2 linked regions of the Oryzias latipes genome follow. The protein of the gene in region 2 purifies or fractionates together with the protein of the main gene of each other region. This does not show direct contact. Links are inferred from orthologs where the notes say so. Each region holds a gene or a part of one and is shown on either strand. Other genes may lie near its edges.

Region 1 (4,490 bases), on a different chromosome or scaffold from region 2:
GTGTTACAGAATGCGTTCACTTTTCCACATTTACAGAAATCTTCAATCCTGATCAGATCTTTGTTTTCTTTCTATAAAACTAAACTTCTTTTTCTACGAATGTTTGAATTTTGTCAGTTTGAAGGAGAGAAAAGTGTGAAAATGTTTGTCTGAGAAAAGTCTAGAAAGTGAGTTTTAAAACATCCGTCCCGTAGTTTTAGAACGTTTACGATAAACGAGGGAACACGATTACAAGTCATAATCGTGTGCTAATGGGGGTGTGGTCTGTTGATTGACAGGCGACTTGCAGCAGAACACCTCTACCGGCATTACAACAGTTGTCGAGCCGTGTGTGTCGCTTATGCATTAATTCTGCTTTTGTTTACTGATGTTGATTGTTGTTGATTTCCTGAGGAACATGGCGCTCTGTCAGAATGTCAATTTTTGTAACAAGTTGAAAAAACGGTTGGGTTTATGGTAAATACGTTACTATAGCATGTCTGTGTTATTACAAAAGTTGGGATTTAGCGTAGTCAGGGTGACGTTTTATTTTACCAGTAACAGTTTTACGTGTCCCAAACATGGTTGGCAGTTTTTAACTATGCTTACGTGGCTAACATGACTAACGCGGCTAATGTGGCTAACGCAGGTAACGCGGCCAATGGGGCTAACGTGGTTAATGTGGTTAACACGGCTGATGTGGCTAACTCAGATAATGTGGCTAATGCGGCTAACATGGCAAACATAGCTTACGTAGCTAACGCGGCATACGTTGCCAATGCGGCTGACATGACTAAGCTGGCTTACGCTGCTAATGTGGCTAACATGGCAAACGTGGCTTATGCGGCTAAAGTGGCTTAAACAGCAATAACACGCGTTGTGTAATACAACTAAGGTCCAGAATGTCTTTCGTCTCACATGATGCACCGGTTGTTTAATGCGTCTTATTTACTACGTAACTTTGGAAATAACGTTTTTAATTTTGTTCCTACGCTCTTATATTTAGCTAGTTTAGCATCTTTCTACCTTAGTGCCCATGAGCCTTTTTTTAAACGATCCTCGCGTTTCTATTCCGTGAGTTCTTCTGTTGGGCTCAGCACCGATTGGCTGTTCCGATGAAAGCGTTGATCTAAAGTCCCGCCCCTCGCGCCCAGCTGCTTCCTCACCATTTCGTGGCTCTGCGGTTTGCCCTGCAGCTTCTGGTGGTAGTCGAACGTCAGCCTGTCCAGGACGGCGTGTTCCTCCTCGTCCACCGTCGCCATGGAGCGCTCGCGGTTGATCCGGTTGATGTCGATCTCCTCCTCCCCCTTCAGCACCGCGTTCCACCAGGTCTCGGAGGTCTTGCTGAGCGACAGCTGCGAGTCACAAACACCCACATGAGCCCGGAGAGAGCGCTCTTTCCTGGTGAACAGGGCCCGGTTCTGTCCCGGTTCTCACCACGACACACTTCCCGGGCTCCAGGCTCCACAGGGAGTTCTCCGTGTTGATCTTGTGCGTGAATTCCCCCTCCATCAGAGTTCTCTCCTCGCCGCCGTCCTTCGTGGACACTCTGATGCCGCTGGGCTGCAGACTGACGCTGACCTGCAGACACGCCCCCGTCAGCGCCGGATTGCCGACCTCCTGGCGGCGCAGCGGCTCGGACTCACCTGTCGGCCTCTCACCACCGTCTTCGGCACGAAGACCCGGACCTCCACGTCCGTGTAGTCCTGAGACCAGCTGTAGTTCTCCCTCTGTGCTCCGTTGTAGCTGTCGGGGTTGGCCTGAAACATGTCCTGGTTCCTGAAAAACAAACCCGTCAGGAGGCGGGCCCGTCCAGGAAGCTCCTCCTCCTCTGCGCCGGATGCTCACCCTTCTCCCGCCGCCGCCGCTTCATCTCCTTGAGACGACGGAGCTCCTCTGCCGCTGGGGGCCGCAGCCTCACCGGCAGCAGCCGCAGCGTCTGGAGCCTCGCTGGCGGCGCTCTCCGGTTGTGGCGCCTCCACGCTGCTCCTCTCCTCTGCCTTTGGGGGCTCAGAGGAGACCTGCAGCTCCTGGACTGCAGGAGGAACGCCGCGGCTCTCCTCCGCGTTCTGCAGCTGGCTCAGCGCCCTCTGCCGGTCCTGATCCGCCATCTGCTCGAACAGCCTAAACGTCTGCGGACAAAAGAAAGTCTGCCGTGGGATCCAGAAACCAGTTGGAGCTCAGAAGGAGTTTGGAGAACCAGAGGCACTGGTTCCACTGAAACCAGCTCAGTAGAAAGAGGCGTCTGGGGTTTTGAGCGGCAGGAGAGATGACGGGGCCCCTGCAGTCAGGTTTGCCCAGGGCCCCTAAACATTTTTTAAACGGTCCTGAAACACGCTGGGGATGTGTTTTTAGAGTGTAGATATTATTATCTGTGGCGCATCTCTACAAGAACCCAAACCAGAACACGAATCTAAACAAGATCTGAAACTTTGGTTCGTTCGCGGCAAACGCTCGGAAGGAAGGCACGCGCCACGCCGCGAGCGCCTTTACAAAACTTCACCTTCAGCACCATCTTCTCTGCGACTCCAGGAGGGAAGCCCATCCTGTCGTCGGGACCGGACAGCAGTCGATAAAAGTCCGTCTTTCTGTACAAAAACCCAAAGTAGACCCTCAGGAAGTCCTGAATGTTTCCGACGTGTTGCAGGATCCCCAGCAGAGCGTTGTCGTACATTTCCGTCATCTCCAGCGGCGACGCCATCGCGGCTGCGAGCGCGAGCCCTTTTCCGAAATGACCCGAGTGACCAAAACCACGAACGACAGTGTATAAATGAGGCCGGTTTGTTTTGTCTCTCTGATTACGGTTGTCTTTTTCCAGAACAATGACGCAGTTTCCGGTACCACCATGTCAAAATAAGAGCACACCAGTCGTTTTGTTTGTTTTTTTAGCTTGCTTTTCGTCGAAATCATCTTGAAGCAAGCTAATTTACAAATTAGAGAGCCCACTTAAATATGCACCAATTTAATTTTATTTATTCATTGAAATCAAGCGCAAAACAACAACAACAAAATACTGTAAAAAATGATTTATTTCCGTTCCAGCTACATAAACGCTCCCTAAGAAACAACATAAAAACAAACGGTCATAAAAACATAAAAAGGGCTGTTTTGATCGACACTTTTAGTTTGGAAGTTGTTTTTAATATAAAGCATGCGTTTTTGTTGTTCTTTTTAAATAAAAACGTTGTTATAAAACAACATAGATTAAGGACAATAGTAGTTCCGCTTCAGACGGTACAAGAAAACATGGCCGCGTCCTTCAGCTGCGGCGGGAGGCTGCTGGTGAGACAACAAAATGAACATTTATTAACATCTAAGACATTTTATTTTATCGAAAACGTCTTTTCTTAAAAATAATGATGACGTCTCAGAAACGATGATATTCTGGTTACGAACGAGAAGCTTTTCTGTGAGAAATGTTGGCCTGCCGAGAACGAAGAGACGATTAACTTCTTTAAAGACTTTTTCCCCCCATAAATCAATGCGTGTCTGTAATCCAAGTGAGCTAAAGCCACGATTTAATCCGGAAAGGTTTTCAGCATTTGAAGAAAACCCATTGGTTTCAGGATCCACCGACAGAGGGCGCTGCATTCAAATGACACTAAATCTATCTAAAGATCTCGTTTCAGTTAATAACCTCTCAGTGTTTCTCAACATTTGGAAGTAGAGCAGACCTGCATGTGAGGATCTGAGGGCTCTAAGAGGTTCAAAAAAGTATTTTGGATCCATTTAGACATTTATAAACGAAGGAACTAGTTTTAAATCAACTCTGAAAGCTGATGGGTTGATTTAAAAATCAGACGTGTTTCTCCTTCTTTCTTGAACAACAAGCTGAAGTTTATTTCTGTCTTAAAGACTCGACAACAGGTAGTTTTAGATGGAACGGAGGCAAAAACTTCTGCACTGATGGCTCAGATTAGGTCCAGATCTGTTCGTCCAGACTTTCATATGAACTTTCATTCATATGTTTGTATCTGAGAGTGAAAAGTCATCATTGGTTCTTCAACTCCCAAACTAAAGACCATTATTCCATTTCTCTGCGAGCTCTAATAGTTCACCTTTCAAATCAGAAATAAAACCAAAGGAAAGTCAAATGGTTAGCATTTTCCAAAATGACAGCTTTCTGATGGTTTTATTTCCATGGCAACCTTTTTGTTTTTTGGTCACCTGAGGACGCTCGCCACAATAACGCAGTCCAAAACCTACACACTTTACTTCCATCATTTTCCTTCCAAGTCGCTTCCCAATGATGCTTGGATCGAAATCCCTCGGAGGAGTTTCAATTTGTTGGCGGCCTCTTCACGGGGTCAAAGGTTAACCAAACATCGGTTGTGTTTTTAGACTTACTGGTGTGTGAAATGTTGTGAAGATCACTCGAACAGTCGTTTTCTTTTCCCATTCGGTGGGAAAAGGTTAAAGAAAAATCCCACTTTGCCACAAAGGTCATAGTTCCTGTGGCCATCCCATAATGATTTCAAAACTTTCACTTTGCCCTCAATTCACTTTCTTGG
Region 2 (4,534 bases):
TGCAGGTGAACAGCAGCAGCAGAGGCAGGGATAACAGCACAACTGAATGCAGCTGTGCAGCTCAGCGGTTTGGGTTGGTCCGCCCCAAAACGCCTCTGCTTTGACCTCAGACGAGGCCTCTGAAGAAACCACACGAGGAGTTCAGGAGCGCGTCTCCAAACCCCCCCCCCCCCCCCCCCCCCCCCCCGTAAAAGTCCCCTCCACGGGTTCACTAAACGGTTCCTCACCTGGAAGTGGTGCTCCTCTATCAGCAGCGTGACGTCCAGCAGCAGGCGCTCCTCGTAGAGCGCCCGGAAGCCCGACGACACGCTGCCGTCGTGCACCTGGGACAGGTACACCTCCACATCCGCCCCCGACATCACACACCTGTGGGAGAAGGCGGAGTGAGAGGGGGACCGTGTTCCGGCTGCTCCAGCCCCCGCCCCAAACACCCCCCATGACCATCACGCCCACCCTCACTGCTTTGATGGACACACACACACACACACACACACACACACACACACAGCACACTCACCTCTGATTGGCCACGGGCATGTCAGAGGGGGTTGTCCGAGCCAATCAGAGGACAGTGCCCCTTTGTGTCCAGACGATGTTAACAAAGTCCCTTTTCTGAGCGTCAATCACCTGAACAACAAAGCCAACACAACCACCACGTTAAAGCAGAGCTGCTGCTGCCCGGAGCTCCACGCCATCCACGCCGCAGCCGCCATGAGTCCACAGCGAGGAAACACATCAGCAGCGCAGAGGTCAGCTGACTCAGCTCAGGAAGAGCATGGGGTCAGGCTTGACCTCAGCGTGATGCTAACGGCCTCCTCTCTGGACTCAGGTTTTTACAGAGACTGAGGTCGTTCCAGGAGGAAAATGAATCGTTTGATAAGGATTCAGATTCAGTCACATGTCAGACGGTTTCTGTTAAAAGTCACGACATCAGCCAGTGTCTGAGCAGATTAACAGACAGGCACGTCTTTGGGCAGCACGGGGCTTTAGACTGCTTCACTGTGTTTGCAATGACAGCCTTTGAAACTCATGTTCCTACTATAACTAGGAAATCAGAGAACATCATCTAGACATTTAATCTTAGCCGTTTCTCACTTCATATATTTTTATTTTCAAAAACTAAAGGACATTTAAACAATGATTATCAGTGAAGAGAACAGCTATGGTTCAGTTTTCTGATGCAGCAAACTCTTGTTTTAAGCAAACCTGTTGAGGTTCAAACATTTGAAAGCTTTATTAGTCTAAATTATAGACAGCATCTGCAGCAAACGTCATATTTGTACCACAAGAAACAGGAACGCTTGAAGATGTGACTTTGTATAAACTACAGGCATGAAAGCATGAAATGTCATGAGTGTCTGTGGAGCTGAAACATGGAGTGAGGCGGGGAGGGGAGGGGGTCGTACCTTTTGGAGCCCGAGCGAGCGATCACAGGCTGTGACAGCTGAGCACTAAGGGGTCGCTCGCATTTCCTGTGTTTGTGTTTCCCTGGTTCTACCAGAACACACAGGAGACAAAGGTTCAGAGGATGATGGGTTCAAAGACCAGGAGCTTCCCCACAAACACCCCAGAACTGAAACCGATTCCTCTTTTTTTCAGTCCCCACCACTCAGACACGATCCAAAGGAACCGTCTGGTTCTGCTGCAGGTACACGTCATGTTAGAGGGAGTTCTGTCACAGGATCTGCTCCTTCCAAATGAGGTCCGGTTGGCCTGAAGAACAGAACCCTGTGACCTACAGGACCGACCATCTTCTTTACAGTCGCTCAACGTTGGGTACAGGAAAACCTGCAATCTGTCACCTACATATGTCGTTATTTAAATACAATCCCATTGAAATGATGGATTAAACGTGACTGAAACATCTGACGTTATTCCTTTTTTAAATGTTTTTCTGTGTTTTCTAAAACACATCTGTTGTCATTTGGTTTTAAAGGAATAAAGTTAATTTAATTCACAGGTAAATAATTGTATAATAGTGGGAAAAAACCTGAGCAAAACAAACGTTTGATTGTTGAAAACTAATCCCAGGAACGATGACAACCATCACTTCAGAACATTATGAGTAAAACAGCTCGAGGCTACTTTCAGAGATGCACAAAAAGAAGAGGGTCCGTTTGATTTATAGTGACGTATCAGTTCTCTCGTTTGTTGCAATAACTCCGGAGATATTATTATGGTCTGGCGTGTTGGGGGGTCTCAAAGGGCCCAAACCTGGAGGTGTGTGCGGGACTCAGCACCCGGATTTTCTCCGAGTCACGACAGAAAAACAACAGCAGGTGTACGGCGGCGCTCCTGCAGGTGATGGCCGTGAACGCGTCACAGAATCACAGCTGCCCCGTGACAAATCATGGTGCGTTTGAGTGCTTTCGTCCGTCACGTAAACAAGGTTCTGCCCGCAGGAGTCCGGAGTGAGAGCTGCTGCTCCCGAATCAAAGGGGCTCCAGGCGGCTCCGGGGGCCGGAGGGCAGCGCTCCGTCACGGGCAGGAAACCCCATCAACGGTCCGCGGCTCTCCGCCCGCCGCTCCGGATCCACGTTCACGGCTGTCGGCGCTGGTCAACAGAGGAACGGCTTAGCTTAGTGGCTAAATCCAAACAGCTCACCTCGGCGGTGCGAATCCCCACAACCCCTCTTCGACCAGCCAGCTCTGGCGCCTTCGGACATGAAGTTGCGAGTTCGTTTCCGTGTTCAAGAAAACGGGCGGCAGTGGCTCACCGCCGTAGCTGTGTTGGAGCCCATGCGCGGACGCGGAGAGCCCCGACAAGGAGGCGAATCACACGGCCAAAGAGCCACCGCGGTGGCCGGACTACACGGACGCCATCTTCTGCAGTGGCGTCATTTCCCTTCTGGGCGGAACTGAAGGGCGTAGTGCAGTCCGCCGAAGATCGTCTATTGACGAACATGTATCACTACAGGTGAAGAAAAACACGAACCTGGTTTCTGGTTTATACCACACAGATGTTTGTAGATTGAAGCAGTTTAAAAAACAAGAAATATAAAATAAATACAACAATTAAATGTAAATATTACAACGTAATGTAGCTTTCTGTGGTAAATATCAAAACCCGATTTAAACCACCATGGATAAAAGGTTTCACTGTTATAGTAACTACAAAGTTACACACCCTTAACAAAAGGAACCTGTTTAACTGTACTACAAGTATCCTCAGTCTACACTTAAAAAGGCAGTATATTTGAAGTTTACTTTTGATATACTATTGTAAACTTAAAGACACACTCTGATGAAAATGGTGTTAAAAAATTAAGCTCGGTTTTGTATTTCTCAGTACTTCTGTATTCAAATCACTGTGAATCGAGAGCAGACAAAAAAATGTTGTGAAAAACATTGTATTTGTGATGTTGAAGCTACGCTGGGCAGGCTAGCGTCTCCCTGCTCTGCTTCATTCTGATTCCTCCACTGTCTGTAAATCCATGTGGGTCTTTGTTTTCCTCGTCTGAGCTGAAATTTGGATCCAAATTCTACAGTTGGATCCTCTGATATTGATCACCATTTTTGTTGCACCGCTAATGTGAATGTCAAAGTGTTCCCAGTGGTTTTTTAATTATGTTGATGCAGTTTTTTAGTCACAATCAAAAAACCTGTGTCTTTTTCTAGATCATAGTTTCTGCAGAGTGGAAGGAGTTCATTAGAAATTCAAGTCTGTGGCAGGAATTTTAATTTATTTATTTTTTTATTGAACAATTGCAACATACAGAACAAAAAAATGCAACATTTATGCTTCTATAATGTACATTACAATTCTGAATACAGAATAAACGTGTTACATCCTTAGGAAGATTTTAATTATCAGTAACAGTCAAACAAAAGGGAATAAAAATTAAATATAAAGAAAGAAAAAAGAAATAAACATAGGGAAAAAAGAGAAAATGCTAGAGTAAACTTATGTCAGTATTCCAAAAGATTTACAAATGTTAATTATTTTTGAGCTTTTGTATTTTTTGAATCTAAAATTAACTTGCTGCAGTTCTAGTTTGAACACAAAGAAATCAGTTTTTTTATTGTAAAATTAGCTTTTGTGAACATGAAATTTAGCCATAAATAAAAACATGTCTATACAAAAGAAAGCATCACGGTCTTTGAGATCAAAACTATGGAAACCAAATAGTACGTTTTTATAGTAAAGTTGTATATCAGCAAAAATAGAGTCGGTGATAAATTTGTGAATGTTTTTCCAAAATTTTTGTGTGAATTCACAAGACCAGAATAAATGAGAGCAGGTTTCAGGTTGTTTCTGACAGAAAGTACAGATGTGGACTACAAATTAGAAGAACGACTACAGATCGTCACTTTGTTACGTCATCTTCAAAGGACGCACCTCGACTACTCATTCACGAACCCGATCATTCACACGCTTTTACTTAGGTAATATGTTAACCTAAACAGGAACCTTTAAACGATGAATAGATCTACAAAAAATGTGGACAGCGATAACTTGATTAAAAAAACTTGTGAAAAGGACCAGAACAGATAAATTGCATCATCTGTTCAGGAAGGACCCCAACGTAGCCAC

What was found.
Region 1: the proteins of klhl15 (region 2) and nudcd3 purify together in Homo sapiens (co-immunoprecipitation; 3 studies listed by BioGRID and IntAct, with this or other methods). This does not show direct contact. The link is inferred for Oryzias latipes from reciprocal best matches to the Homo sapiens genes KLHL15 and NUDCD3.

What each region holds. Positions count from the first base shown.
Region 1 is NC_019870.2:1,856,673-1,861,162, reverse strand, and holds the start of nudcd3 (nudC domain-containing protein 3), read right to left. Parts: upstream 2,816-4,490; 5' UTR 2,681-2,815; coding exon 2,483-2,680; intron 2,112-2,482; coding exon 1,828-2,111; intron 1,759-1,827; coding exon 1,626-1,758; intron 1,561-1,625; coding exon 1,417-1,560; intron 1,335-1,416; coding exon 1,146-1,334; intron 1-1,145. Other genes in the region: mrps24 (28S ribosomal protein S24, mitochondrial), read left to right, coding at 3,226-3,261.
Region 2 is NC_019878.2:2,979,989-2,984,522, forward strand, and holds the start of klhl15 (kelch-like protein 15), read right to left. Parts: upstream 2,834-4,534; 5' UTR 2,667-2,833; coding exon 2,606-2,666; intron 1,495-2,605; coding exon 1,407-1,494; intron 628-1,406; exon of another isoform or gene 538-627; coding exon of another isoform or gene 518-537; intron 367-517; coding exon 228-366; intron 1-227. UniProt on the Homo sapiens protein: Substrate-specific adapter for CUL3 E3 ubiquitin-protein ligase complex.